6 linked regions of the Mus musculus genome follow. The protein of the gene in region 1 purifies or fractionates together with the protein of each later gene. This does not show direct contact. Links are inferred from orthologs where the notes say so. Each region holds a gene or a part of one and is shown in the gene's direction. Other genes may lie near its edges.

The links.
Region 2: the proteins of Arid1b (region 1) and Dpf2 purify together in Homo sapiens (affinity purification with mass spectrometry; 7 studies listed by BioGRID and IntAct, counting the BioPlex papers as one, with this or other methods). This does not show direct contact. The link is inferred for Mus musculus from reciprocal best matches to the Homo sapiens genes ARID1B and DPF2.
Region 3: the proteins of Arid1b (region 1) and Bcl7a purify together in Homo sapiens (affinity purification with mass spectrometry; 4 studies listed by BioGRID and IntAct, counting the BioPlex papers as one, with this or other methods). This does not show direct contact. The link is inferred for Mus musculus from reciprocal best matches to the Homo sapiens genes ARID1B and BCL7A.
Region 4: the proteins of Arid1b (region 1) and Smarcd2 purify together in Homo sapiens (affinity purification with mass spectrometry; 5 studies listed by BioGRID and IntAct, with this or other methods). This does not show direct contact. The link is inferred for Mus musculus from reciprocal best matches to the Homo sapiens genes ARID1B and SMARCD2.
Region 5: the proteins of Arid1b (region 1) and Bcl7c purify together in Homo sapiens (affinity purification with mass spectrometry; 4 studies listed by BioGRID and IntAct, counting the BioPlex papers as one, with this or other methods). This does not show direct contact. The link is inferred for Mus musculus from reciprocal best matches to the Homo sapiens genes ARID1B and BCL7C.
Region 6: the proteins of Arid1b (region 1) and Ss18 purify together in Homo sapiens (affinity purification with mass spectrometry; 4 studies listed by BioGRID and IntAct, counting the BioPlex papers as one, with this or other methods). This does not show direct contact. The link is inferred for Mus musculus from reciprocal best matches to the Homo sapiens genes ARID1B and SS18.

The regions. Positions count from the first base shown.
Region 1 is NC_000083.6:5,340,691-5,345,105, forward strand, and holds part of Arid1b (AT-rich interactive domain-containing protein 1B), read left to right. Parts: intron 1-672; coding exon 673-2,397; 3' UTR 2,398-4,415. UniProt on the Homo sapiens protein: Involved in transcriptional activation and repression of select genes by chromatin remodeling (alteration of DNA-nucleosome topology).
Region 2 is NC_000085.6:5,909,583-5,914,443, reverse strand, and holds the start of Dpf2 (zinc finger protein ubi-d4), read left to right. Parts: upstream 1-1,572; 5' UTR 1,573-1,671; coding exon 1,672-1,703; intron 1,704-4,861. UniProt on the Homo sapiens protein: Plays an active role in transcriptional regulation by binding modified histones H3 and H4. Is a negative regulator of myeloid differentiation of hematopoietic progenitor cells. Might also have a role in the development and maturation of lymphoid cells.
Region 3 is NC_000071.6:123,342,474-123,347,570, forward strand, and holds the start of Bcl7a (B-cell CLL/lymphoma 7 protein family member A), read left to right. Parts: upstream 1-1,974; 5' UTR 1,975-2,156; coding exon 2,157-2,248; intron 2,249-2,452; exon of another isoform or gene 2,453-2,669; intron 2,670-5,097.
Region 4 is NC_000077.6:106,269,671-106,274,814, reverse strand, and holds the start of Smarcd2 (SWI/SNF-related matrix-associated actin-dependent regulator of chromatin subfamily D member 2), read left to right. Parts: upstream 1-1,842; 5' UTR 1,843-2,106; coding exon 2,107-2,322; coding exon of another isoform or gene 2,323-2,382; intron 2,383-5,144. Other genes in the region: Tcam1 (testicular cell adhesion molecule 1), read right to left, coding at 1,164-1,181. UniProt on the Homo sapiens protein: Involved in transcriptional activation and repression of select genes by chromatin remodeling (alteration of DNA-nucleosome topology).
Region 5 is NC_000073.6:127,705,681-127,710,581, reverse strand, and holds the start of Bcl7c (B-cell CLL/lymphoma 7 protein family member C), read left to right. Parts: upstream 1-1,815; 5' UTR 1,816-2,054; coding exon 2,055-2,146; intron 2,147-2,623; coding exon 2,624-2,702; intron 2,703-3,040; coding exon 3,041-3,149; intron 3,150-3,244; coding exon 3,245-3,406; intron 3,407-4,769; coding exon 4,770-4,855; intron 4,856-4,901. UniProt on the Homo sapiens protein: May play an anti-apoptotic role.
Region 6 is NC_000084.6:14,637,269-14,641,683, reverse strand, and holds part of Ss18 (protein SSXT), read left to right. Parts: intron 1-560; coding exon 561-728; intron 729-1,322; coding exon 1,323-1,427; intron 1,428-4,199; coding exon of another isoform or gene 4,200-4,292; intron 4,293-4,415. UniProt on the Homo sapiens protein: Appears to function synergistically with RBM14 as a transcriptional coactivator. Isoform 1 and isoform 2 function in nuclear receptor coactivation. Isoform 1 and isoform 2 function in general transcriptional coactivation.

The DNA.
Region 1 (4,415 bases):
AGCTCGGCTTCCCACAGACCGACTCTGCCAGTGGCTCTTGTCTTTCATTTAGCATTGTGAATAACTGAAATGTAAAATTGCATTTTATAAAGCAGTCTCCTTCATTTATCAGGGACTAAATTGATTTGTTTATAATTTTCATTCTTTATGAAGCTGCTACGTTACTGAGATTATCTCTTTCAAAAGAGAGAGAGAGAGCATAAATCAGGGCACCTATGGCACCTGAGACAAGAATAACCATAAACCCTAAGAATAATAACCATAAAAAGCCCAGCAGGCGACTCCCACATAAACAGTAGAGGAGCAAATAGATTCACTTTGGGTGCAAGAGTCTATAAAAGCCTTGCTCCTGCTCCTCACAATGCACCCCCTAAGTCATGCAAGCCACAGAGAGCGGTGGGACTCTCCACACTTTGGAGCCATGACCAAGGAAGGCTGGTGCCGGTGCCTGCAGTGCCAATTGTCAGGAGAGCAGAGACACACTCGTGCACATTTGGTCCATCATCAGGATGGTAGCTCTCAGACGTGTGGTGTGCCCTCTAGGGTCTGGTCAGAAGGACATTAAACAATATGGAAGTCTTGACCCAAAGCTGCCCTAGGCTCAGGCTCTTGCCCACACTGTCAAAGCTGAGGTCCTGACCCTGTATGTGTTCTCTTTCCCCTCTTCTCTAGCTGTCTGGATTCCTGGAACTATTAGTAGAGTACTTTCGAAAATGCCTAATTGACATTTTCGGAATTCTTATGGAATATGAAGTGGGTGACCCCAGCCAAAAGGCTCTTGATCACCGTTCAGGGAAGAAAGATGACAGCCAGTCCCTGGAAGATGATTCTGGGAAGGAAGACGATGATGCTGAGTGTCTTGTGGAAGAGGAGGAGGAGGAAGAGGAGGAGGAGGAAGACAGTGAAAAGATAGAGTCAGAGGGGAAGAGCAGCCCTGCCCTAGCTGCTCCAGATGCCTCCGTGGACCCCAAGGAGACGCCAAAGCAGGCCAGTAAGTTTGACAAGCTGCCCATAAAGATTGTCAAAAAGAACAAGCTGTTTGTGGTGGACCGGTCCGACAAGCTGGGCCGAGTGCAGGAGTTCAGCAGCGGGCTCCTCCACTGGCAGCTGGGTGGTGGCGACACTACCGAGCACATCCAGACTCACTTCGAGAGCAAGATGGAGATCCCTCCTCGCAGGCGTCCACCTCCGCCTCTAAGCTCCACGGGTAAGAAGAAAGAGCTGGAAGGCAAAGGTGATTCTGAAGAGCAGCCAGAGAAAAGTATCATAGCCACCATCGATGACGTCTTGTCTGCCCGGCCAGGGGCTCTGCCTGAAGACACCAACCCAGGACCCCAGACCGACAGCGGCAAGTTTCCCTTTGGAATCCAGCAGGCCAAAAGCCACCGGAACATCAGGCTCCTGGAAGACGAGCCCAGGAGCCGAGACGAGACGCCGCTGTGCACCATCGCGCACTGGCAGGACTCACTGGCCAAGCGCTGCATCTGTGTGTCGAACATCGTGCGGAGCTTGTCTTTCGTGCCTGGCAACGACGCAGAGATGTCCAAACACCCGGGCTTGGTGCTGATCCTGGGAAAGCTGATTCTGCTGCATCACGAGCATCCGGAGAGAAAGCGGGCGCCACAGACCTATGAGAAGGAGGAGGACGAGGACAAGGGGGTGGCCTGCAGCAAAGATGAGTGGTGGTGGGACTGCCTCGAGGTCTTGCGGGATAACACCCTGGTCACGTTGGCGAACATTTCCGGGCAGCTAGACTTGTCTGCTTACACAGAGAGCATCTGCTTGCCGATCCTGGACGGCTTGCTACACTGGATGGTGTGCCCGTCCGCAGAGGCTCAGGACCCCTTTCCCACTGTGGGGCCCAACTCAGTCCTGTCGCCGCAGAGACTTGTGCTGGAGACCCTGTGTAAACTCAGTATCCAGGACAACAACGTGGACCTGATCTTGGCCACGCCTCCATTTAGTCGTCAGGAGAAATTTTATGCTACATTAGTTAGGTACGTTGGGGATCGCAAAAATCCAGTCTGTCGAGAAATGTCCATGGCGCTTTTATCGAACCTTGCCCAGGGGGACACACTGGCGGCGAGGGCAATAGCTGTGCAGAAAGGAAGCATTGGTAACTTGATAAGCTTCCTAGAGGACGGGGTGACGATGGCGCAGTACCAGCAGAGCCAGCATAACCTTATGCACATGCAGCCCCCACCTCTGGAACCCCCTAGTGTAGACATGATGTGCCGGGCGGCCAAAGCTCTGCTGGCCATGGCCAGAGTGGACGAGAACCGCTCGGAGTTCCTTTTGCACGAGGGTCGGTTGCTGGATATCTCAATATCAGCTGTCCTGAACTCTCTGGTTGCATCTGTCATCTGTGATGTACTGTTTCAGATTGGGCAGTTATGACATCCGTGAAGGCACACATGTGTGAGTGAACATTAGAGGGTCACATATAACTGGCTGTTTTCTGTTCTCGTTTATCCAGTGTAAGAAGAAGGAAAAGAAAAATCTTTGCTCCTCTGCCCCGTTTACTATTTACCAATTGGGAATTAAATCATTAATTTGAACAGTTATAAAATTAATATTTGCTGTCTGTGTGTATAAGTACATCCTCTGGCGGTTTTCTGTTTCTTTTTTTTTTAACCAAAGTTGCCGTCTAGTGCATTCAAAGGTCACAATTTTTGTTTGTTTGTTTGTTTGTTTGTTTTTTCATAATTTTTTTCATGTTGTATTGCAGTCTTTGGGAAGTGAATTGACTTTATAAAGAAAAACGTTTTGGCAAAAAGTGCTAAGATAGAAAAATGTCACCACACTGGGTCAAAAACGTGAAAGGAAAAATTGATTCTTAAATTGATTTCCTATGAATTTTATTCTTCACAGAATGATAAAAGCTAAACTGCACCCCGTCACCCAAAGCTCTGTGCAATAGAAACTTCTAGAGATATAGTGTAGGGGCTGAAGGAGGTATGGCAGCAGTAGTCAGGGTCAATGATACTGCTTTCTCCACCGGAAAGTGGTTACGTTAGGCCTCGAGCAAAAAACAGCGCTCTCAGATAGGTGCAAAAATCCACTCCTAGCAGCCAACAGCAGGATCGCTTCCTCACCACGACCGCCATGTCTGCTGTGGCTCAGCCTCCACGGGACAAAGCTTCAAGATTTCTTTCATCATTTTTTTAAATATTTTTTTTACTGCCTATGGGCTGTGATGTATATAGAAGTTGTACATTAAACATACCCTCATTTTTTTCTTCTTTTCTTTTTTTCTTTTTTTCTTTTTCTTTTTTTTTTTTTTTAGTACAAAGTTTTTAGTTTCTTTTTCATGATGTGGTAACTACGAAGTGATGGTAGATTTAAATAATTTTTTATTTTTATTTTATATATTTTTTCATTAGGACCATATCTCCAAAAAACAAGAAAAAGAAACAAAAAATACAAAAAATAAAAACAAACAAAAAAAGAGGGTAATGTACAAGTTTCTGTATGTATAAAGTCATGCTCTGTTGGGAGAGCGGCTGATCCCAGTTTGCTTCATGAATCAAAGTGTGGAAATGGTTGCATACAGATTGATTTAGAAAATGGACACCAGTACATACAAAAAAAGAAAAAAGAAAGAAAACCAACTAAATGGAAGAAACACAACTTCAAAGATTTTTCTGTGACAAGAATCCACATTTGTATTTCAAGATAATGTAGTTTAAGAAAAGAAAAAAAAGAAAAAAAAAGAAAAAAACTTGATGTAAATTCCTCCTTTTCCTCTGGCTTAATGAATATCATTTATTCAGTATAAAATCTTTATATGTCCCACATGTTAAGAATAAATGTACATTAAATCTTGTTACGCACTGTGATGGGTGTTCTTGAATGCTGTTCTAGTTTGCCTAGCATGGTTGCCATAGTAACCAAGTTATTTACAGGAAATAGGGAAGATGTAACAACTGCTTCCTGGTAATGATGCCCAAAGGCCAGAAGGGACTTTCAGGGTTTCCTACTTGAGAGTGGGAGCAACAATTTGATTTTCTCAGATTGTTTAGCTAATTAGGTCTTCTTTGAAGCAATTAACTCTGGTGACATTGAGAAGTGGTAATTCCCTCATGGATGGGTGGTGGCTGCCAACCCACTGTGACATGGGGCCCTGCAAGCTAACTGGCCTGAAACCACGACCTTCTGCCTCTCACTACTGATTTAACCCAAGTCTGCACCCGTCATGTTTCTTCTGTGTGCCTCCAAGTTACTCTGCGTTAGTTTGCTCCAGCGTGTATAATATTTATATTGTGCAATGTTAAAGAGAACGTGTCATATTGTATGCCGTGTGTATAGTGCCAAGTGATGATTCTGTTTCAGAGCATACCTTCCTTCCTGCCCAGTCCCTGGCTCTCTAATACCCCACCCTGATGGAAAGTGCTTCTTCCTGGGTAATTGACTGT
Region 2 (4,861 bases), on another chromosome or scaffold:
ATCACACACTCTCTCAGGTATCTGTTTTCGGCAAAATATTACATGTCCTCTCACAAGACAGCTTCCAGAAAAACATCACATGATGTGACTAAGTTGTTAAGGAAACCAGAAGTTTCCACTTGAGTGGAGGCTCTGGGAACTTTTGCTGTTTGTTGCTATTGTCCCTCAGGTTTTCTATGTAGCCCCAGTGGCTTGGAGCTTGTGTAGCCTGCATGGGCCTTGAACTTGTGGCAATCCTCCTACCTCCTAAAGAAAAAAAGACAATCTATGCATACATATACATATACACATATATATCAGGTCCAACATGGACAGAGAGTAGATCGCTTCTAAATCCATTGAAACCGAGGTTTGGTGACTTTGTTAGGAGTTATTTCAAAAGGCCTGGTGGGAACAAAAGCACTCAGTAAGCAGAAGAGAGCCTAGGAAAACAGGGCAGTACAGAATACGAATGAAAATCTGCTTAGAAAGAGTGAAAAGAAATGGGCTGAGATGCAGTGCCAATGGGCTTAAGGGAGTCCTGTTGGTTTCTTCTTCTTCTTGTTTTGTTTTTGTTTTTGCTTTTGTTTTTTTGAGACAGTGCTTCTCTGTGTAGCCCTGGCTGTCCTGGAACTCACTTTGTAGACCAGGCTGGCCTTAAACTCAGAAATCCTCCTGTCTCTGCCTCCCAAGTGCTGGGATTAAAGGTGTGTGCCCCTACCGCCCGGCTGGTTTCTTCTTTAAGGGGAAACATGTTTGTTCATGGATTTGCATAACTCGATACTGAAGGAGAAATAAATAGTATAGAACTAAGAGGGCTAGTCACACCAGTGAAAACTTTCAATGTGGAGAATGGCTTGGTAATAGCAATCAAGGGCTTGTGGGATGACACAGCAGATACGGACTCTGGGCACCACGCCTGACAACCTGACCACCATCCCCCAGGTACAAAGTAGAATGAAAGAACTCACATCCCCAAGCTGCTCTCTCACTCTTACACATATGCTATGGCACATGCACGCACACAAAGACAGACATACAGAGCAAAGGAATGGAGAGAGAGGGAGAGGGGAGAGGGAGAGAGAGGGAGAGGAAGAGGGAGAGAGAGGCAAGCAAGAGAGAAGAGGTGGGTGCCAGTGAAGTTCAAGGACCGGGTTTACTGGCAGGAATTGTCCGAATGAGAGTCAGGCCCAAGAACAGCCCATTTTGGGCACTCACTTTCCATTCTCTAAAATGGGCTGACTGGGAACAGAGGTACCTAAAGGACTGGGACTCTGACCTTTCACTACCTACCCACCAATCTCTCCCTGTGTGTCAACCTCGTGGCTAACGGCCAGCCAGGCAGGACACTGTTTGCAACTTCTAGCCTATCCGCGTGGCCTTTTCACTTACCTTTCTCACTTTCCAACCGAGCCAGATCTCCTAGCTGAGGCGTCACTAAATGGAGGGGAGACGGATCTCTAGAATGAGCTGCAGAGGGCATGTAAGTTTTCCAATCGCGCCTGCGCACTGGGATCCTAGGCTCCTTCAGGACAGGTCGTTCTCGAGCGCTCGCTCTCGTGGGCCTGTGCGTGCGCGCACCCCCTAGCTGCGCCTGCGCAGAGGGTCGAGGACCCTGTGTCCTGAGAAGGCTTAGCGCCTGCGCGTTGTAGGTTTCGGGGCCTCCCGGCCTGAGGGAGAGGAACAGGGAAGATGGCGGCTGTGGTGGAGAATGTAGTGAAGCTGTGAGTGGTCTTTTTTGTTTGTTTGTCTCTTTTTTCTTTTTTAATCTCTCATGTACCAGAAATCTTGTAAAGGACCTGGGAGTAGAGAGGGAGGTGCGGGAAGAGACAAGGTAGAGAGAAGGACATGCCCGGGAAGTCCTTGCTGTGCGACTGCTGGGAGGGAGGGCAACAGGAGACTCGGGAGACGGCGCTGGGCTTCTTTTGGAAACTTGTGGAGGACTGGAGGGGGGCACACCGGAGCCCCCGACGGGTGTCCTCCTCGCGGGCCGAGCCCCGAGCGGAGCTGCGGGCTGCGAAGGAGAGGCTCACGGTCCCTGGCCCCTCTCTGGAGACGCGTCAGTCCCGCCAAGCCGAGGCCGGCGGCACTAGGAGATCGGGGTCCCCTCCCCGCCCACCGCCGTCCCTGGGGCCATAGGCTCCGCCGTCCCTGCGGAGTCCTAAGACTTAAGCAGCCTGGTGACGTTAACCGGGAAATCCGGGGTCCACGAAACTAAAAATGTTCTTGGGAAGAACTGGTCCAAGAGCAGAACTTCGGGGAGTGGGGAACTAGACCGGAGCCAGATGGCCTTCCAGTCCGCAGGAGCCCTGAGGTGGGCGTTCTCTGTCCCCCAGATGCCATTGTGCGGGTCAGATTTCCAGTGGAGCTGAAATAAACGGTTGTTGGGCGACACCGGGAACGGGGACTGGCCTGCTAGTCGCTTCCCCTCAGTTGGAGATGTTTGGATGAGGCTCTTCCTTCCTTCTTGAAGAAGAATCAGAGTTTTGGAACGGGGTGCCCATTGGATTTAAGAATGGCCTTCTCTTCCCTTAATGGCCATGTTAGACGTGATGTAAGGATAGAGAAATTGAAGTGTTTCAGCTGTCCAATCAAAGCTTTTGGATTCTGGATGACAAAGTAAAGGTTTTGGAACCATTCTGGAGGACTTTTCGCAGCTTTATCTGTCTTTGTCGTGGGCTGAGCCCCAATCGTCCCAAGAGGCTTTTAAAAAATTTTTTTTAAGGTTAAGTTGCTTCTTCCCTGCTGCTTGCAGCCCCTTTCTTTGAAAATGCTTTTCCACTTCCATTAAGCTAAGTGCCTTCTCTTGTGGCTTTTTTTTTTTTTTTAATCTCGCTTTTGGCTTCATCCTGCTGCCTATTTCAACCACCCCTCCTCCCAACGCTATTATCTCTGTGATCTGCCCACTCCGGATCCCCGGCTCTCTTCAGGCTGACATTTCCCTCAATTTAGAAATGAGGCTGTTAATTTACCAATTTTATAGTTCTCCTTCTGGACTCAGAAGTTAAGTCTTTATTACCCTGCCTTTCTCTTTGTTGGACCCCCCTTATTCCCCTGGAAGGGGAGTTGTCCTGTGCCCCCTCCCCACCCCCCAGGTTTCCTGTGAAAGGAGGAGTCACAGCTTTTACCCTGAAAATCTTACTGTCTAAAAGAATATGCTTGCCTAGGTTTTCAGAATTAGATGTCAATGGAGTTCTTCATGTTGAAAGATGGTCTGGCAGAAAATGGAGTTGCCAACCCATTGGTGTAGTATTTTAAGTGTTGGGTGCCCATTTAAATAGAGCATTGCTCTTCATGCCTCTTTAACTCACTGGTTCCTGAGTATCAGTGGGGCACTAACTTGCTTCTCCTCAGCTGTAGTGCAGAAGACTGGAAGCTCCTAACATGTTCCCCGGGGAACTTTCCCTTTACAGGGAAGGCTTTGATTCTCACACCATTCTCACTCTGGAAAGATGCCTTTCTGATGCCTTTTTAAAAAAAATAGTATGCTTCTGTCTTCTGTCAGCTGCCATCACTCACTGAGGGAAAGACCACTAGCTCATCTTTTTCATTTTTTGCCGTGTGAGAAGACTTTCTGTCTTAATTTTCTGTTTTTCTCAATTACAACGTCATGGTTGAAATAGTCTTTATAGTGGTCTTATTAGAGTAAATACTAGTGTTAAAATAACCATGGCTGCCAGCTAGTTTTTAAAACTTTCTAGAGTTATATAAGGCTATCCATAGAATAACAGAAGCTTGGAATTTTTTGCTACAGAGTCTTGAATTTGTGTGCACTCTCCTCTTTTGCTCTCTTCACACGCACACATGCACACACTCATGCAGTCTTATCCGGCCATCTTTCCTACTAGAGCACCTGCTTGGCCTTCTAGAATCTTACCTGGCCTGCAGGGGCCCCGACTGGACGTTCCAGTCATCCCTCCAGGCCTCCCTCAGGCTCCGCACTCTGACTTTGCAGTCTTCAGCCCCACAGGGCTGGTCCTTTCTTCCGTTTGACTTCCAGTGTCAGTATCAATTCCCATCAGCAGAAACAAAGGAGCTGCTGCAGTCAGCCTTGTTTATCCAATTTTCCTGTGTGGTAAGGACGTGGCTGCCTCCTAAAGGCGAGCCAGTGTGAGCCTGCTCTCTTCTGTGCTGTGCTCTCCAGCACATTTATCCCTTAATTATAGTTATTCCTGCTCACTGAACCCACTCAGGCTGTACTTGTAGTGTTGCTGTGTGTGCTGTGTTTGCTGGGAACAAACTAAGCTGTGCAGTGGTCTCTTGTGACTGCTCAGTGAAAGTCCCCATCAGAGTCTACATTAGGGCTTGTTGATACAGCTTTAGTAATAGCATTAGACACTGAGACCTTACTCCTTCCTGCTTTTCATGCATTCTTATCCCTATTCTCTTCATCAGAATCCTGGTAGGTCAGAGCTCATCTAGTCTAACTGCTCCAATCTATGGGAGAGGAATGGAGGTTCATACAGGTTACTTAGTTACATGGCTGTGTCCATGTGGTGGTTAGAGCCAAGCCAGGCTTTTCACTCCCAAATCCACCCTGATGCGATCTAGACACCTTATGGGTAAACGGGATGCTATGGGTAAGAAGTCCTTTCTGCCCTCAGTGTGTGCTTTTTGAGGCTAGGAATGTGGCTCAGTTGGTAGAGTGCTTGTTTAGCATATAAGAGATCCTGGTTTGATTAGCCAGCACCCTAAAACTGCATGTGGTAGTGCTTGTGGTAGTTGGGGAGATAGTCAGGAAGATCAAAAATTCAAGGTTATTGTTGACTGCCTGTGGGGTTTGAGTCCAGTATGAGCTACACAAGCCTCTATCTAAGAAAGATTGAGCCGGGCGTGGTGGTGCACGCCTTTAATCCCAGCACTCGGGAGGCAGAGGCAGGCA
Region 3 (5,097 bases), on another chromosome or scaffold:
TTCACACATTTTTAGAGGTATTGGTATTGCTTTTATCAAGGAATAATAATACCACTGAAAAGACATCTGTTCATCAATTGGGATTTGGATTTTTAGTATTCTTACATTTCATTTAGGGTGTGTGTATGTGTGTGTGAGTGTGCGTGTGGTATGTAAACATGTGCTGATCCAAGGACAACTTTCACGGGTTCTGTTTTCCACAGCGTGAGTTCTGAGACCTGAACTCTTGCCTGCAGGCTTGGCAGCAAACACATTTACTAAGACATCTTGCAGACCAGATATTCGGACTTTTGATATATCTTATTTAAATACACACACACACATACATATATACACATATATTCTATGTGGGAATTGTGGTGTAGCACTTGCCTAGCATACACAATTTCTGCACTAAACAAAAATGAATTCCCTGGGGTCCAAGCACATATCTGATGATCAAATACAGAGGGTCAAATGCATGAGACTTCGGATTTATGGCACATTTTTCAATCCATCACAGAACGATTCTTTGACATATTTGTGGGGTGTGTTATTTTGTTTTGAGACAGGGTTTTCTTTTTGTGGCCCTGGCTGTCCTAGAACTCACTACTATGTAGACCAGACTGGCTTTGAGTCTTGAATACATAGAATCGGCCTGCTTCTGCTTCCCAAGTGCTGGGATTAAAGGTGTGTACCACCACTGCCTGGCTCCATTGTTTTGTTGTTGTTGTTGGTTTTTTGCTTTTGTTTGTTTTGGTTTGGGTTGTTTTTTTGTTTTGTTTTGTTTTAAGACAGGGCCTCACTATGTAGTCCTGGAACTACCTACATAAACCAGGTTGGTCTTGAACCACAGATCTCTACCTGCTTCTGCCTGGAATTAAAGGAGTGGGCTACCACATCTGATTGTTGTTCTTATTTTTAAATTTTCGCTTTAGGACCGTGCGTTTAAAGTGGTTAAAAGAAGCCTGGGGGAAATTTCCCCAGATTCTCACACCCATTTCCCCACTAGCTCCCTCTACCAAACCCCTGCAACCCCCCCAGACTTCAGGGGGAGATGCTTGGTACTAGAATCATGGCAGTCACAGATGAAGGTCACTGCTGCAACCTTCAATAACTCCTTGACTCAGTTTGTCCATCTGTGAAATGACTGATGTTGCGCTAGTTCCTCTCCAGGTAGCAGCTCTCTCACTTCAGGTCATCTCTTTTCCCAGCATTCACGTGGACAAGCATTCGCTCTGGTCCAGTCTGTGTAGCCGCAACTGCACACCCACCTGTCCCTATACTGGGTGACCGCGGTAGATCCTGTCACCCAGCTCTGTCCTAGGGTAGGGAGACAGCCTCTCATAAGTCCTTCTGTGTTGGGCCAGTCTAGTTTACCTGCTGCTCCGGGTCATTACACTGCACTTCCACCAGGAGCCGTTTAAGATTAAATTGTCATTTTCGGTCAAACCCCAGGGAGGTTGATCCGTGACTGGGACAACTTATCTCTAAGGGAAAGAAAGCCCAGAGACAATGTCAATTGCCACCGGGTTCGGGCACCTTTCCTACGACTCTAGTTTAAGCATGGGGAGGAGACGTTCTAGCTCGCACATTTTAACAGGGCAGCTGGCCAGAGACCGGCGCCTCAACTCTTTCTAAGATCACCTCGCGTCCCGAACCGCCGCCTCCAACTCTTGAGAACTCAAACGCCCGACAAGAAACTTGCACGATCGCGCCCGCGGCCACCAACCCGAGCCAGAGCACCCACGGCCTGCAGTCTGCCATCCCCAGGGTGTGTGTCTTGGGGGGGGGAGGGGCCCCCCATCGCACCTGCGGCCTCTGGGTGAGTCCTGGCGCGGGCCCGTCCCGCGTGCTGGGAGGTCGGGGTTACCCGGGAGAGCTTTCCCAGAGTGAGGTCCCCGAGGCTCCCCGGGGAGGGCGGCGGCACCCGGAGGCCGCACTGCTGGCGGCCGCGCCGCTCCCCCTCGCTCTGTGCAGCTGCCGCCCCGGCGCTTGCGCACTGGGCCCCGGGCGCGCGGCGGCACCAGGCTTTGTGTGTGCGCGTATGTGTGTGAGTGTGTGTCTGTGCGCGAGTGAGAGAGCGGGCGAGTGTGGCGAGCAGGACCCGGCGGGCGCGCTCCCCCAGCCTCCCTCTCTCTCTCTCTTTCCTCTCTCTCTCCCTCCCCGCCAGAACCATGTCGGGCAGGTCGGTTCGAGCCGAGACCAGGAGCCGGGCCAAAGATGATATCAAGAGGGTCATGGCGGCTATCGAGAAAGTGCGCAAATGGTAAGCCGAGGCGCCTGCTCGCTCTCTCGCTCGCCCCGGCTCGCTGCACCGCGTCGCGGCCGCCAGCAAGCCCGGACCCAGCGCGTAGAGCGGCGGGGCGCAGCGGCCCCGGGCCCGGAGTTGGCGAGGGCGCGCGGCCGGGGTCACCTGCGCCCCGCGGGGGCTGCGTCCGCTGCCCAGGTGTGCTTGGCGCCGGTCACCCACCTGGCGCGGCGGCGGCGAGAGCGGCGGCGGCGGCGGCAGGAGCCCGGAGCTCGGAGCTCGGCTCTCGGGAGAGGGGGGTTCGCAGCCGGCCCCAGAAGCCATTTCGTTTTTTTGTGCAAGTCACATGAAAGCGGCTTCCCGCGCGCCGGGGCCGTGATGCCGGCGGCGGCGGGCAGAGCGCGAGCTCCATTGTGCAGCGCGGAGCGGGCCGCCGTCTCCTCCCGGGGCGGCGCGGCGCCGGTGTCCCCCCCCCCCAACACACACACACACACATACACACACACATCCTACGCCCCGACCCGCCCGCAGCTCCCCGCCTCCCAGGCCTCGGCGCCCTCGAGTCTGCGGAGTTTGCAGAGCGCGAGCCGTTTAAATTTAGCGCTTTGGGCAGCCTGGAGCGAGGGCTCCGGGCGAGGAAGGAAGATGGGGGCGAGCGCTAGGAAGGCGGTGGCGCGGCCGGGGCGCGGAGCACCCACGGCTCCCACGCGCTCCGCGCGGCACCCGAAGCTCGGGGAGCGCGATGTTTGCATCCAGAAGCCAAGTCCTGGGCCGTGTCTTGCCTCCTTCTTGCTGGAGCTGGTGTTTGTTTTGCGGAGAGAACGAGCGACCGTTGTTTTTGTTCTCTGCACTGGGGGAGGAGGAGACCGCGAGATTCGGTGTGGGCCGTGCGTGTTTTTCAAGCTCAAATTAGATCCTGCCCGGCGTGGCCTCGTTATAATTAGTAGGATGGAACATTTTCTCGGCCCTCGTCGGGATCTGACACCGAGGCGGCCCCAGAGGCCAGGCCTGAGGCGCCAGTAGTCCACCACCAGGTTGGGTCAGACTTGTTGAAAACTCCCTGCTCCCTGATTTTAACTTTATTACGGTTTTTTTCCCACGGCTTCATCTGGGTCCGAGAGGGAGAGGAGCAGCTGCGAGGGTGTCCCCAAGTGTCAGCAGCCGCTGGCTGGATCTGTCCTTTATAGGAACTGGCTAGGCTCCACTGCAGGCTGGGTTGTTTTTTTTTTTTTTTTTTTGGGGGGGGGGGTCATTTCTTGAGTAACGCCTCTGTTGTTGTTGTCCTTTTTTTTTTTTTAAACACTACTGGGGACCTGTCTCCGGTTTGATGGTGTCACAAGTTAGCTGTCCTTTCAGAGTGAAACCCAACAAAAAAGGCAACGAGAAAAATCAATAAAGTCCACGTGCTCCCGGGCCTCCTATGGAAAGGGCTGTCTGCGGATGGCCGGATGCCCGCCGTGGGCTGGGTTTGGCTCCAATGGGACAAAGAATTTTCACAACCGTGAGAAGGGGAGGCTTTCCAAAGTTGAGATCCAAGTCCTGGGTGCCGGGGAGCTCCCCGCTGAGCAGGGCGACCAGTGCCCAACTGCAGCCATTTAAAAATGGCAGAAACAGCTGCAGGCCAAAACACAGGAAAACCAGCACCTTGGCCCCTCTCCTGTGGGACTCTCAAGGGAAGGCTGGGGTGGCACCCCTCCCTGGCCTCAGTCCCCGGTGCAAAGAAAGAACTGATAGCAGGGCAAGAGTCCCTTCTGTCTGTCACCCGCCTGGAGGGTAGAAAGGGGCCGGTGTAAGCTCCCTTTCTGGTCCTGGAGCCGTGACAGCTGCGGCTGGGTCTGCCAGCTGCTCTGCTGGGCGGGCAGATGGAGGGTTGGGGCTTTCCACCCTGCGGGCCCCAGAGCAGCAGGCCTGGAGGCTTCATCTTCCATGCTAGCGGGTTCACAGCCTGCCAAGCCTGGGAGTGCAGTGGGGGATGTGGCCGCTTTCTACCCTATGTTCTTTTGGGAGAAATAAGTATATCATGACCTCTAAAGACTCCAGGCCTTTTGGGATCTCCTGCATGAGTTTCTACTTCACTTCCTAGCAGTGACCTTGGGCAAAATACGAAACTCAGTTCCTTGACTCTGTCAACTAGGGGACTCCGGGCCCCCCCTCCCCTTCCAGAGCTGTTGAGGACTGGCTAGTCCGGTAGAGTCACTGGAGTACACAGGGGCCCTTATGTAAGGTGGACTTTGTAGAAATTTTGATTTGCTTCCCTCCCCATCTTAAATAGAGACGGAGGGGTCTTCCTTGAGTCATTAAATCTGGTCTTGCCCTGTCTGTAACAGCAATCTTGCAATCAACCCCTGAAGGCTTTGGGGGTTGTTTATTAACCGTGGGCACCAACCATGCATTTCACCACTGGCTAGGACATGGGGCTGCCAGAAATGAAAATGAAAAAACACAGAACATCCAGGTAAATTTGAATTTCAGATAAACAACAAAGTGATTTTTAAAAAATAAACCGTTCCCCCTGGGTGCGTGCCTATAACCTTTGGACTTGTAAGGTAGAGGCAGGAGAACCAGGTGTTCAAGGCTAGCCTCAGCTACATACTGAGCTCAAGGCTAGCCTGATCTACATTCAAGCTTGTCTCAAAAATATAAATTAAATAAAAAATAAAATGAATGCACAGGGCTCTGGGTTTTGTCCTTAGACTGTACACACACACAAAACACACACACACACACACCCCTTTATGTAAGTAGTATATCCCATGAAATATTTGAGACACATGCCAAAAAGTTATCCATTTATCTGAAATATTCAGAATCAGTGAGGAACTCTGTATTTTATGTAGAGGAGAGCTAAGGTGTCTGGTATTCCATCC
Region 4 (5,144 bases), on another chromosome or scaffold:
TCTGCAGATTCTATACTTTAGATTGCCTGTTAGATTATGTATGTAAAGACTGTGATCACAGAAGAGTTGTGTGTGTGTGTGTGTGTGTGTGTGTGTGTGTTTGTGCACTTTCAGGGCTTTAATTTTCAAATGGCTTCCACTAAACAGGTGCTCTGAACCAAAGTCACTTGAAGGTGCCTTTCTGGAGACAGACCCCCCTCCCCCATTCTCTCTGCCCAGGAGGTCTAGTTCTTAGGTAACTGAGCCTTCACTCTGCCCAGACAGTCTTAGGTAACTGATCCAGACCTTACTTTTCATATAAGTAATTCATGCTGGCTTTGGTCTCGAGACCCTGCTTCCCTGACATTTTTGGGACCTGCTACCATCTCTGAAAGCTCAAAAGCTTTGTGGCACACAAGTGAGATCAACCCACCTACAGGACAACTCTTTATTGGACAAGTTAACAAAAGCAGTTTAGTCAAAAGACCAAAGCCTATGTCATCTTTGGCCAGCCTGGTCTACAGACCTAGTTCCAGGACATCCAGGGCTGCACAAAGAAATCCTATCTTGAAAAACCAAAAAAGAAATACAGAATCTTGTACCCTGCCCCCATTTCATTGAACCATAAACCACATTTTAACAAAAAGCTCGGCTTTCTTCTGATATAGGGTCTCCTGTAGAATCAACTGGTGATGCAGCTGAGAACCATCCTGAACTTCTGGCCCACCTGCCTCCTCCTGTGTGCTGGGATTTTGAGGATGCACCACCATGTAGTTGATGCAGTCTGGGGTTCAAGCCCAGGGCTTTGTGCACGCTATAACCTGAGTTACACCCCCAACCTGATTCTGAGGATTTTCAGTGCCTAGTTAAGTAGCACTATTCTATACCGTGGGTAGGAGATACCACATTGACAGAGGGTAGGTCTATAACATAGCCGAAGCCAGTGGTTTCTGAAAAGGTTCTCAACTTTTCTTTTCTTTTTTGGTTTTTCGAGACGGGGTTTCTCTGTGTAGTCCTGACTGTCCTAAAACTCACTTTGTAGACCAGGCTGGCCTTGAACTCAGAAATCCACCTGCCTCCGCCTCCCAAGTGCTGGGATTAAAGGCGTTTGCCACCACGCCCGGCTGATTCTCAACTTTTCAAAACTAAGTCCTATACAAACTGGATAAAACTTATTTCAGTACCTGGAGTTCTCTCAGCATGCAAAATCCCTTCACCTAAAAACATTTTCTGCGAATTACCAGGCTTCCTTAAAGAAAGGCACGGGCAAGTTAGTGCAGTTAAGTACTCGGAGTTGGGCCAAGCCAAGCTTTCACTCAGCTGGGTCACGTCTGGGGCCGCCCATGTCCTTGGAAGCGCGGAGCAACCAATACAGGCTTCTGGGGGTAGATGGGTGGGTGGGTGTGGGGTGCCTTATGCCACCGGCCCCGAGATGGGCTCTTAAAAAGTGGTTGGCGGCTTTCCCGCCGCGGATCGCTTATTTTTAAGGCTTGAAGACGCAGAATTGACGGAACTGTTTTGGATGGGCCATATCGGGGATCTCGCCGAGGCAGCAGCACTACGGAGCAAACAGCAAACACCTAACAGTTCGGACGGCCCTACGCGACCTTCGAACTCTGACCCCACGCCTTTCTCCTCCGCGCTTCCGCGTGCAGCTTCCGCTCCCGCTCCTCCGGGAAAAGGCCGCCTCCCCCAAGGGCGGGGCTCTAAGGCCGTCAGTTATGGGAGGTGCTGGTTTGAGGCGGGTCTCGCGAGGGCGGGATTTAAAGAGGCATTCTCGATTGGGTTGCCGGGCAGGGGCGGGGCCTGCAGGGTCTAGGTTGGGCGGGGCTGGGAGTTCGTAACCGCCTCTGGGTAACTGGACTCCGGCGATCAAACCTCCGGAGGCCGGGAGAGGCCTGCGGGCTCGCGGCACATCCCGGATCTGGAGTATCCCTGGCAGGAGCGGAGTCAGAGGGGCCGCGGGATCCTAAAGCCGGGCTGCAAAGAACTTGCGAACTTGGAGTAGAAGATCCCGGAACCCGGTAGTAAAATCGGGAAGTCCCGGATCGCGGAACGTAGCTCGCGGAGCGGACTCAACACGGAGACCGGAGGCCGGATCGCTGCACCGCGGGACGGGACAGAGTGATGTCCGGCCGTGGCGCGGGCGGGTTCCCGCTGCCTCCGCTGAGCCCCGGCGGCGGCGCCGTTGCCGCGGCCCTTGGTGCGCCGCCTCCGCCTGCGGGACCCGGAATGCTGCCCAGCCCGGCGCTCAGGGGCCCGGGGCCTTCTGGAGGCATGGGGGTACCGGGGGCCGCCGCCTTCCGCCCCATGGGCCCCGCTGGCCCCGCGGCGCAGTACCAGGTGAGGAGGGCAGGCGAGCGGCGCCGCGAGGGCGCTGTGTCGGTCTCCCTGGGGCCTCAGGTGAGGACAGGCGGCCCAGGGGACACTGCAGGAGGAACTGTCGAGGGCTGGTGGCGGGCAGGCCAGAGTCCCTTGGTTAGTGGCTCGGGGTTGGAGGCAGTGTTGGGGAAAGGGTGAAAGCCCTCTGCGGTGGAGGGCTTGAGCAGTTAGAGGAGTCCCGGGGCTTCTTGGCTCCGAGTAACTTAGAGATGGAGGCTTCGTGAGATCTAGAGAATTGTGGGCAATCAGGTTGAAAGTGTAAGACAGGTCCCGGAGTGGAGGTGAGGGAGTGACCCGGGATGTGGTGAGGAAAATTTGGAAGAGGGTCGTTAGTGAGAAAACAGGGTTACTCTTTCTTTGGCCTCGGTCCCACTGCATCTCTGCCTTGGCTTTCTTTCTTTCTTTTTTTTTTTTTTTTTCTTCCTAGTTGGGAACTGGCAGAGCGTTAGTATGTCTGAGATGGCTCCCAGCTGCTCAAGTTGAGGAGGAAGGAAGCCAGGCTTCCTACGAAATGGGAGACTAAAGAGATTGGGCCCAGATAACTCCAGGATAGATTAGAAATAGCTGTGTCCAGGTCTGAAGAAGGCCCGATCCCATTAACAGACCATTCAAGATATCCTCTGTACGGGGCTTTCCTTCTTGATGCCAGTGTCCAGTAAAGTTTGGAGGAGCAGGGAGGCTTTGTGGAGTCCTGCTGGTCTTGGGCTGCACAGGGTACTGCCCTGACCCTTCTGTCTTGGCAGAGAGCTGTCTCAGGTTGCAGCATCAAAGGCCATTGACAAGCAGAGACAGGACCCGTGGTCAGTGCATTGGGAACTCAGCCTGATTCTGCATGTGGCGCTCCTCATTCCCCAGAGCTCTGGTTCAAGTGGCTCCAGAATGTTTGGGAATTTTGTTTTGCTTTTGCATTTTGGTGCTGAGCATGGAATCCAGGCAGGGCTTTGCACGTGGCAGACGATTGCTGTATCAGGGAGCTGCACCTCCTTTCCTGGGGATTGTGCCCATCCTTCTCCCACATCCTTGTCACTTTTGTTACTTGCTTTTTGATACAGGGTCTCATATAGTCCAGGCTGGCTGTGTAGCCAAAGCCCACCTTGAACTCTTTTCTCTCAAGTGTCTGGCATTACAGTCACACACTATCACGCCCAACCTCTCTTTCCTTATCCCTCAGGTTCCTGACAAGGCCATATGTCTCTCAACCTATGTGCCAGAGAGGTGAGAGGTGTGCACTGTAGCTTGCTCTGTCCCCTGCTGGTGTCTCTAGGTAGAAGTCTCAGAAATAGATCTTCATGATGTATGCATATTCCACCCAGGAATCAGATTTCTTTTTTTTTTTTTAAAGATTCATTTATTTATTATATGTAAGCACACTGTGGCTGTCTTCAGACACACCAGAAGAGGGCATCGGATTTCGTTACAGATGGTTGTGAGCCACCATGTGGTTGCTGGGATTTGAACTCGGGACCTTTGGAAGAGCAGTCGGCGCTCTTAATCACTGAGCCATCTCTCCAGCCCAGGAATCAGATACCCAGGAGATACCTAACTGGGGGTCGGAGTGGGGATAAGTGACCCCCTTCATTTCAACTCCTATCTAAAAAGAAAATGACGAGTTTGGGTATAAACAGAGATAGACGTGGTTCCAAGGATACTAGCGGGGTTTATCTTTCCCATGTGGCTTTCTTTGGAGATTCATGGGCCTAGTATATCACTGATGAGTCTCTGCGTCAGCCCTTGGCTCTGCTTGTTTAGAGCTGGTCTGGAAGCTTCCTACAGGCACTGGGGATGTCTGTTTGGTTGGTTGGTTTTCCAAGTCTCTCTATATAGTCCTGGCTGTCCTGTAACTCACTATGTAGACCCATTTCCTTGGAAAGCAGCTGATAGAGAACATGCCATTGGGAAAGCCCCTGTTGAAGACTGGAAGATGGATTCCTGCATATTTTGTAGAGTAGCCTTGGGTCTATGCTGAGGCCAGGCTGGCCAGCCAAATGGCTGCGGCTGCTAGTTGTGAGAAAGGAGATAGCCTTGAATCTGGGCATCCCATACCAACTATGTTTCCTCTCCCCCTCCTCCTCCTCCTCCTCTTCCTCCTCCTCCTCCTCCTCTTCTTCTTCCTCTTCCTCCTCCAGGGAAAGGCAGGGGAAAGGAGGGAAGGAGAACCCAGTTAGCATTGGTTGAGTTTGAAGGAGATCCCGCTTGCTTCTTCCCATGTCCAACTTCCAGCAAGTCTTGGGATCTGAGGCCAGAGGGGCTCCTGGTTAGAGTTCTTGGGGTGAGCAGACTTGTGTGCTCAAGATGAGCATATTGGGGAGCCTGCTGAAGTAAATTGATAGCCCACCTAACTCTAGAGGCTTTTTCTAGTTTTGGAGTATAGTTACCCTGAAGAGCTTAACAAAACCTAGTGTGCATTATTGCAGGGTTCACTCAGCTCAGAGTTTAAAATACCTCTGTTCATAGGGTCAGGGTATGTCCTCCAAATGAGGCTCTTAGGTTCAGGCAGCTATCAGAAGGACCAGGGCTACAGATTTGGAGGAGAGCAGAGCATGTTTTGTTTTGTTTTGTTTTGTTTGTTTGTTTTTTTTATTTTTTTGTTTTTTGTTTTTTTTTGTTTTTGGTTTTTCGAGACAGGGTTTCTCTGTATAGCCCTGGCTGTCCTGGAACTCACTTTGTAGACCAGGCTGGCCTCGAACTCAGAAATCCGCCTGCCTCTGCTCCCGAGTGCTGGGATTAAAGGCGTGTACCACCATGCCCGGCAGAGCATGCTTACTTGAGCCCTACATTTTTTT
Region 5 (4,901 bases), on another chromosome or scaffold:
GATTAAAGTGTGAGCCACCACATCTGGCCTTTTTTCTTTTAAAGGAAAAACCAAAACGTCTCTCATTTATTTTGCCTGTGTATGATGTGTAAGAGGTGTGGAGGTCTGAGAGCTGTCAGGAGTGGGTTCCCTCTTCTATCACATGGGCTCCCAATTTTTGAGCTTGGGTCATCAGGCTTTGTGGCAAATGCCTTATTCACTGAGACATCTTGACAGCATCCATTTTAAGTAAACCTTTAGCTGAACTATAATAGACACAAGAAATATTACACAAGTATTAAATGTACATCTTGACAGACTTAAGACCAGTGTGACAAGCGGGTCCCAGAAACCCCTTCTTTTGCTTGGTAGTCCCAATAGTGATCACTGTCCAGACCCCCCCCCCAAAATGTATTTGTTTTCTGTTATATATAGAATTATATGTAGGTATGTATGTATATAATTCTAATTATTCTAATTATTATTCTAATGCATGCTGTCACATCTGACTTCTTTCATCCAAGATCTCTCTTCACTGTTGCACATAGCTGGACTCTGGTGATTCTGGCTGTTCTGTCCGTGTCCATGGTAGAAATAGGTTGTAATTGCTTTTCCATTCCATTCTTTTTTTTTTTTTATAAAGATTTATTGTTATAGCTGTCTTCAGACACAACAAAAGAGGCCGTCAGATCTCATTATGGGTGATTGTGAGCCACCATGTGGTTGCTGGGATTTGAACTCAGGACCTTTGGAAGAGCAGTCAGTGCTCTTACCCACTAAGCCATCTCGCCAGCCCCTTCCATTCCATTCTTTGTGTTGTTTCCAGGTTGTTGCTACTGTGAAAAGAGTCCCAAACTTTCCAGTATTCATATCTTGGTGTTCATACAGACACCACATTTTGTCCTAGTGAGGTTTCTAGTGATGTAATAAACACCATGACCAAAAGCACCTCGTGGAGGGAAGAATGTAGTTCAGCTTGCAGTGATAGTCCGTTATGAAGTCAGGGAAGGAACTTAAAGCAGGAACCTGGAGGCAGGGACTGAAACAGAGACCTTGGAGGAATACTGCTTGCTGACTTACTCCCCAAAGCTTGTCCAGCCTGCTTTCTTAGAGTGTTCAGAGGTGGCACTGCCCTCAGTGGTGTGGGCTCTGCCACATCAACTACCATCAAGAAAATGGCCCCACAGACTTACCCATAGGGCATCTTGATTGAGGCCCTTTCTCCACCAAGGTTCCCTCATCCCAGCTGACCTAGTTTATGTCAGGCTGACAAAAAACTAGGCAAGCACACATTTCTTCTGTTGAGTGTTGATAGCTTGGGAGTGGAAAGTGTTGGAAAACGGGGTTGGTATAAGTTTTTCACTGGAAGACTATCAGTTTTCCAAAGTATCTCTACCAATTACACAACCTGATTCAAGGAATGCCAAGTTGCTCTGCTACCCCATCTACATGGTCTTTCTCATTCCCGCCATTCTGGCTGAGGAGGCCCGCTCTCCACTCGCAGCGTCTGGCGCGTACTTGGCACTGTTCATGGGACTGTTCAATGAATGAATGAACAAATTAAGTTGGGCAGCGTAGAATCAAACAGCCTGGAGAGGGCAGACGCGCGCACAGAGCATTTCAGGGACGCCCACCCGCCGCGGACGCACACCAGGACAGTCCCTCTCGCGCACCCCTGAGCCCACGTGGCCGGAACGCACCGCCTCGCTCGGGCCGCGCGCGTCCAGCCGCACAGCTGCCCCCCAGCTCTCCCTCTCCGTGGCTGGCAGAGGGCGCTGTGCGTCCGTGCGCCCCGAGGGGCGGGCCCGGGCCGGGGCGGGGCTGGCCGGGCTTCCAGGCCGGGGCTCTAGCAGCCCGCGCCGCCCGGGCCGCTCCGGGGACGGGCCGGGGCGGGGCGCGGTCTTAGGAAGCCAGGCGGGGACGCGCGGAGGCGTTGGGGAGCGAGGGAGGGCGCGGCCAACTCCCGGAGGGACGGCAGGCCGAAAGAGCGGCGCTGGGGCCTGGCGCTCAGCCTGAGATCGCCGGACCACAGGCCGCCCCGCCACGGGCTCTGTCCCGGCCCCAGCCCCGCCAGCATGGCCGGCCGGACCGTGCGGGCCGAGACCCGGAGCCGGGCCAAAGATGACATCAAGAAGGTGATGGCGACCATCGAGAAGGTCCGGAGATGGTGAGCGCTGCCCCCGGGCCAGGGATACAGCCAAGCCACCTCCTCCAAACGCGTCCGCCCTTTCCTGGCCCGCTGCCCCCGCCCACCAGCTGTGCTCTGAATCGACAGGGCGCCCCCTTTCCCCGGCAATTCCCAGAGGTCTACAAAGCGTGGTCCGGAGTGGTGCTTTCCCTGAGCGGGAGCCCTCATCTATGCCCCGCCCCCTGAAGCTTTTGACACTCTAGCAAGCTTGGCCCCGGGTCTTCATTGCCAGAGTCCCTGGCCAGGCCTTGGTGGCGCCCTGCTGAGTGCCCCAGGTGTCTGCAAAACCGCAGCTCCAAGTTATATCCGTTTCTGCTTTGCCCTGGGGTTTGAGGGCTCTTTCTGCTTCTGTGCCAGTGTTAGCGAAGCTGTCCCTACCCTAGCACACCTCCCTGACCTCCAGTCTGTGGGGCTCATCCTTGGGCCTCCCTGATCCAGTCTCCTGACCTCCCACAGGGAGAAGCGCTGGGTGACTGTGGGAGACACTTCCCTTCGAATCTTCAAGTGGGTGCCTGTGGTGGATCCCCAGGAGGAGGTGAGCAAGCCCCAACCCCCAACAGGCCTTGCATCTGTGCAGCCTCAAGCAATTTCCCTCCCAGCCTTGGCCTCCACCTTCAGTCGGCTTGGAGACTCCAGTGTGGAGCCCAGGCAGATGGTAACGATTATTAGGGGGCGCGAGCGCACTTACACACACACACACACACACACACACACACACACACACACTTTCTCCAAGTTCAAGGCCTAACTCAATCTACACAACCTGATGCAGCACCTTTCGCTTCTCTGAGCCTAGGTTTCCTTATTCGTATTGAAGGGCTTTGTAAGAGCTCCCTAGACAACTAGCTCTGATCTTACCTCTCTAACCCCCAGGAGAGGCGGCGGGCAGGAGGCGGGGCAGAGAGATCCCGTGGCCGGGAGAGACGTGGTAGGGGCACCAGTCCCAGAGGGGGAGGCCCCCTCATCCTACTGGATCTCAATGGTATGTAGAGATTCTGGAATGGAGTTGGGTGGGGGGGACTGAAGGAATCCCCTGGGGATCTCTGGCTAATTAACGCGCGGCTTTTGCTTCATCAGATGAGAACAGCAACCAGAGTTTCCATTCTGAAGGTTCATTGCAAAAGGGTGCTGAGCCCAGCCCTGGGGGGACGCCCCAGCCCAGCCGCCCTGGATCACCAACTGGACCCCCAGAAGTGATTACTGAAGATACTCAGCCCCCACAATTGGGTCAGGAGAGAGGTAGGGCCCTGTGGCTCTCAGGAGCCCTCTCATCAAAGTTGAACCCACCATCCTGTCCTTGTTTCTTATATTATGTCCTCTCACCCGGTCCCGCCTCCCTCAGGGAATCTTCCCTGACCCTGGCAGAGATCACCTCCAGCTGTGCCTCAATCCTCCGGCTTCTTAGATCTGTAGGGAGCATATCACCAGCTGACTTTTTTTTTTTTTTTTTGCAGATTTATTTCTTTGCTTGCTTATTGTCTTTTTCTGTTATCATCTCCTGTCAGCCATACCGATCTTGATCATGTGGGATGCGTAATAGATGTTCAGGGAATAAATAATTCCAATAATCATAGGGATTAATAGCAGTAGATTAACAGCTAACAGAACCGCTTGTCTGTGAGTCGTTCCTCTGAGCACTCCGAAGTTCTGTTGTTTGTTTTCGCATTTAATCTTCACTGTCATCTTTTGGGACCAATGATTCTATCATGAGTCCTCTCTGTACACGAGGAGACCAACATCCAGAGAAAGATGCCCAGACTTAAGAGCCAGTGAGCAACACCTTGGGCCTGAGCCTTCTTCAGCTCCTCTGTCTTCAAATAGTCCACCCCTTGTCTGGTCAGTACCACTTCCCAGGCGTGCCTGACTCCTGTGCCTTTGGCTCTGCCTTCTCGTTTCTCCCTTGTACCTGCTCTGGCCTCCACGCCTGTCCCCGGTGGCTGCAGAGCAGCTCTCCTAAAGCACACGTTCGAGACGGCTATTTTCCTGCCTCACATCCTTCTTCGGCTCCCCGCAGCCTCTGGTTCCTTCACTTCACACTGAGGCCTTGACAAACTGTTGCCGCCAAAATTGTTCCCCTGTCAAGAACACCATGACATGGCCCCTGGGCCATACCGAGATTGTTCCAAATACTTTTGCTAATATAAACGGATAGGGCAGGGGAAGCGTCCAGTGGTAGGTGCTTATCTGACATGCCTAAGGCCCTGAGCCCCATCTCTACTACCACAGAAATGTAAGAAATGAATGAGTAAGTGAATGAATGAACTTGCTACCTGGCACTTACTGAGCAGCTCCACCCTTGACCCCCACACACAGCAGCCTCTCGTGGTCTGACTGACACTATTTCCATTCTGCAGATGATTTAGGATCCGTGGTTGCTAAGCATCTATTTCTGTCTGCCTAAGTTCTGCTCTACCTCTGTTGTCTCCTGGCTCACTCCCCACTAACGAGATCCAACCTGACTGAGTCTGCCTTCCTTGGCAACTAGGGATCCCCCTCTGCTGCTGCCATATGTGACCAGTGCCTGCCTGCTTCTTTTGTCCCTGATCCATTCTCCCACCACAGAGTAGCTGCTTAGGAAGTCTCTCTTTGCTTGGTATTACAGATCCAGGGGGGACACCTGCAGGCGGTACTGATGAACCCCCAAAGCTGACCAAGGAGGAGCCTGTTCCAGAATTGCTAGAAGCTGAGGTGAGAGAGGCCAGAGTCTGCACTCTGGCCTTGTGGGGACTGGAGG
Region 6 (4,415 bases), on another chromosome or scaffold:
ACCTGTGTTCAGTCCCAAGCCTTCACAGCGGGCAGCTCACAGCACCTGTGACTCTGTTCTCTGGATGCCTTCCCTTGTCTGGGCTCCTGCATGCATGCGGTGTGCATACATCATGCAGGCTCACATGCATACAGAGAAGTCATCTTTCTCCTCCCCTCTACTTAGAGAAGGAAGTAGAAGCCTGGAAGTTGGTTTCTTCTGTTGGTTTTGTCTCCAGCCTTTTCCTCTTGCTGCAGGAGGATGCTTTGTCAGAGAGATGGTGAGATGATGCAGATAGGAAATGTATATGCCAGAAAGAGCTTGTCTCCATTTTTGTTTTTTAAAGATAACGGGAGCACTCTGGTGGACCTGAGGGCCACCACCAGGTCTTGGTTGTTTTCCTTATTTGCAGATAAATTCTGGCCTGTGAGCTTTGTGCAGAGACTCATTTATATTTGAAGTCAGTGTTCCTTGTTTGATCACACACTCGCGTATTATGTTGTAAGAAGTTCTTGTATCTATCATGAAATGGTGAACTGTTGTGCCGGGATACTGTATGATGATGTTTTGCGTGTCCTTAGGGCCGATGATGCACCAGCAGCCTCCTTCTCAGCAGTACAATATGCCACCTGGAGGGGCACAGCATTACCAAGGACAGCAGGCGCCCATGGGGCTGATGGGCCAAGTTAACCAAGGCAGTCACATGATGGGCCAGCGACAGATGCCTCCCTACAGACCTCCGCAACAGGGTGAGACGCCATTTGGGAAATTCCGTGCTTAATGTAAATAACAGTAATTGAAGGGCTTGAAGTTTTAATGAACTTTTGATCTAGGTAAATCCAGGGCTTTTGCTGGACTCCCCTGACACCCACGAAGGGAGCAGGGTTTAGGGTACAGAGGGTCCTAGGCACATAGGAGCGTCCCAGCACCCAGCTTCCTGTTGCCTGGTGTTCTCCAGGGAAAGATGACATCAGGAAATATAAATATCAGAAAATGCCCCCTCCCTTTTTTAGAAGCTACTAAATATATGACAGAACAAAGCCAATTTTACTTCAAAGTGCTTTAGCGTTAATGTCAAAGTAAAAAGAAGTCAGGTTCCCACCAGCTTCAGCCCCTGTTTCAGAGGTTGTTTTTCCGAGTTGATATTGTTTGATATTATGTGTATCTTATATTAATTTTATAAATGACGTGTGGACCTGCTTGTGTGTGTACCTGGGAATAGTGCCAAAGCATGGTGGGGTCTCCAGCTCAGAAGTAGTCTCTCGTAACAGCAGATTAGAACGATCGCCTTTGATGCCATAGAGAACAAATGATTTATGTCTTGACTGGTTGTGGTTTTTCAGGCCCACCACAGCAGTACTCAGGCCAGGAAGACTATTATGGGGACCAATACAGTCATGGTGGACAAGGTCCTCCAGAAGGCATGAACCAGCAATATTACCCTGATGGTAATCTCTCCTAATGTTACCCTTCCCGTTTCTATCCTTGCCCAGTATCAATGCAGACAGCATTTCACAACTCTTTAATGAAGGGCGAAGAAACTACCAACTTGTTTCTTCATTTAGAAGAAAGCATTTGGGTATTGTATAGTACCACCAGGAAGGACATTGGTTTGTAATTAATTCAAAGTATATTTGTGCGGTCACTGTTGGTCCATCCGGAGCTACATTCTATCTCTATATTGTCTCTCGTGTGAAAGAGGAGCTTTTTATATTTAGGATTGTTCATTTGAACCCAAGACAAATTTCTTCTTCTACTTCTTTTTTTTTTTTTTGTATTTTTATAGATTTAATTCATGTGCTATAAAGTTCACTCATTGTTTTGCTCTTATGCATTCTATATAAGGAATATAGCTCTATAAGACTGTAGAGAATATTCTTGGGTAATTTTCATTTTATTTATGTTCCATTCTTGGGAAAGAATTATGCCTTATATGCTTGCTCTTGAGAAAAGATGTGTCTGCAATCTAGCCGTAGATAAGGTGCACTGAATAGACTGAGTGTACGCAAGGCATTTGGGTTTATAATTTAGCGACTTCCCCCTGCCTCCTTTAAAAGGGGACGTGACTTGTAAGAAGTTGACTCCGCTAAGAAAGTGCAGGCACTGATAATCCAGGTGTACAAGGGCATTTCTACTGGGCAGTTTAAAACTCTTTTTGTTTGAAAATTTTGTATCCTAATTTGAAGAAACATTCAACATAGAATCGGTAAAATAATAGATAATGTTAATAGGTAAAAAGTAATATTACATAGTAATTCATAGTGTTTTGCCAAAATATTTCATCCATAAAGTAAATTCTTTTGTTATTTTTTTTAACGCAATTATATGGCAAAGAAACTTCAGACTAACGTTTAGGACCCCTTGGCTAGAACCTAACGCAAACCACCAAGAAGATGGAGTTTGCATTCAAATGGCATTTCATCTGCTGCTTTTCGTCAGCATACAAGGCATAAAGGCATGTCTGTGCTAAGCACTGTCACCAGGGCTACACACAGAAGCGTTGGTCAGTGATGGTGCATAACTCCGCTTAGAGCTGTGTGCTTTTAATCTCAGGTCTTCTTGCCATTGGTATTCAGAGTATTGGGGCTTTTTCCTCTCCTTAATTCTTTGTGGATAGATGAAGCTTTTTTTTTTCTGAAATTTAGACTTTATTAATAGTACATTTATAGAAGATTTCAAAGGTGGCATCTATCTGGTAAATAGAAGTAATCTCAGAATAAATGATCTTTTAAATCAACTTTAAAGTACATCTTAAGCAATTGTGTTGAACTTAATGGTTTTGGGTCCTGAACATTTCCTGAAATACGAACTTTGTCTTATTTTAAACCTTTCTATTGAAAATAGGCACCTTATTTTTGTAACTATTGAAACTTAACATTTATTACTTGTGCTAGCTTGTTCTTAGTCTAAGTAGTACCATGGTTTCACAGATGTATGTATAGTAGGCCCTGACAAGTACAGAGTGTTAGCCACAATTACATTTCCTTAGGCAAAAGTGAGTATCTTCTCTCAGGTCCAGATAGTCTTGCCCATAAATACATGGGTGAGTGTTTGCCTGAGTTTTTCTGCAAAGGGCCAGGCAGTGAAGGTTTTGGTCCTTGTGGGCCATGTGGTCTTGCTGTCACATTGCAGACCTTTAAAGATAGCAAGAGAGCTGCTGTGGGCAGCACTTAAAGTGAGCAGACATGATTGGGTCACAATAGAACTTTGATCTCAGCCGGCCACGGCCACAGTAAGCTGGTTGATCATACATTGCCAGCTCTTAGAGACTTTCATCCTAACACAGTGAGTGTGACATGTGTTTGTGACTACAGTCCTAAGTAGGCCTTTCTGGAGCATTAGTACCCATTTAGCAACTGAAGACATTAGTTCCTACATTTCGTTTTTAAGTGAAACATTAAAGAATTAAAAAAAAAAATAGTCTACTGGTGGAAGTTACTGAGTCATAAAACTTAAGGTGTTCTCCAACTCAGGAAATATGAATTTTATGAACTTTTATGTGCAGAATACTCTAGAAATATTTCTAAAGAAGCTTTAAATGACAGCATTATAAGATACATTTTTACTTGGGTGCCAGTCAGGTGGGTCCCTGTGAGTCTGAGGCCAGCCTGGTCTACAGAGCGAGCTCTAGGAACCCAGGGTGAGAGACCATATCTTTAAAAAAAAATGACTTTTTTTGGCATCTGGAAATACTGTGAAACACTTGTACTTGATGCAATAAAATATTAGAGGTGTTAGAAACTCACTTCACTTCTTTTCGGAGTACAAACTCAAGGACCTCATATTTTGTATTGTTTTTAGTGTGTGCTGGAAATGGCGTCCAGTAGAACAGGGGTTTGATTAAACTATGATAACTTCCATCCTTTGTTCATTCTGATTGGTCTCGAATTTCTTACATGTGAGAGGCCTAAATGTTCTCACTTTCTTTTTTAAAATAGGATGTAAGGGTTTTTTGTCCTCAGTGAGGATTATCACAGTTTGGAGGATGAGTGTAACATTTCTAAGATTACTGTTCTTTGCCTTGAAATAGTATGCTTATAATCTCACAGTGAAAGCTTTCACGTTGGTAAATACTTGCTAATGCAATTAAGATTATTTTTTTATGTATTTCCATTTCTTTTTCTTTTTTTTTTTCTTCAGTTTTATCTTAAAGTTTAATTGTAGGGTTTTCACTCAGTGGCCATTAACGTTTCTTCCTGTCTCTTGTCGAATTGATGTAGGTCATAATGATTACGGTTATCAGCAACCGTCGTATCCTGAACAAGGCTACGATAGGCCTTATGAGGATTCCTCACAACATTACTACGAAGGAGGTATCTATATACCTTCACACATACACATGCACATCCCTTCTCCAGGAATGGTAGTTCTTGCATAGGACAGCGTCTCCCATGCAAAGCTCTCGTACAGTACTAGTGGCTGGCTGGCTGGAAAGT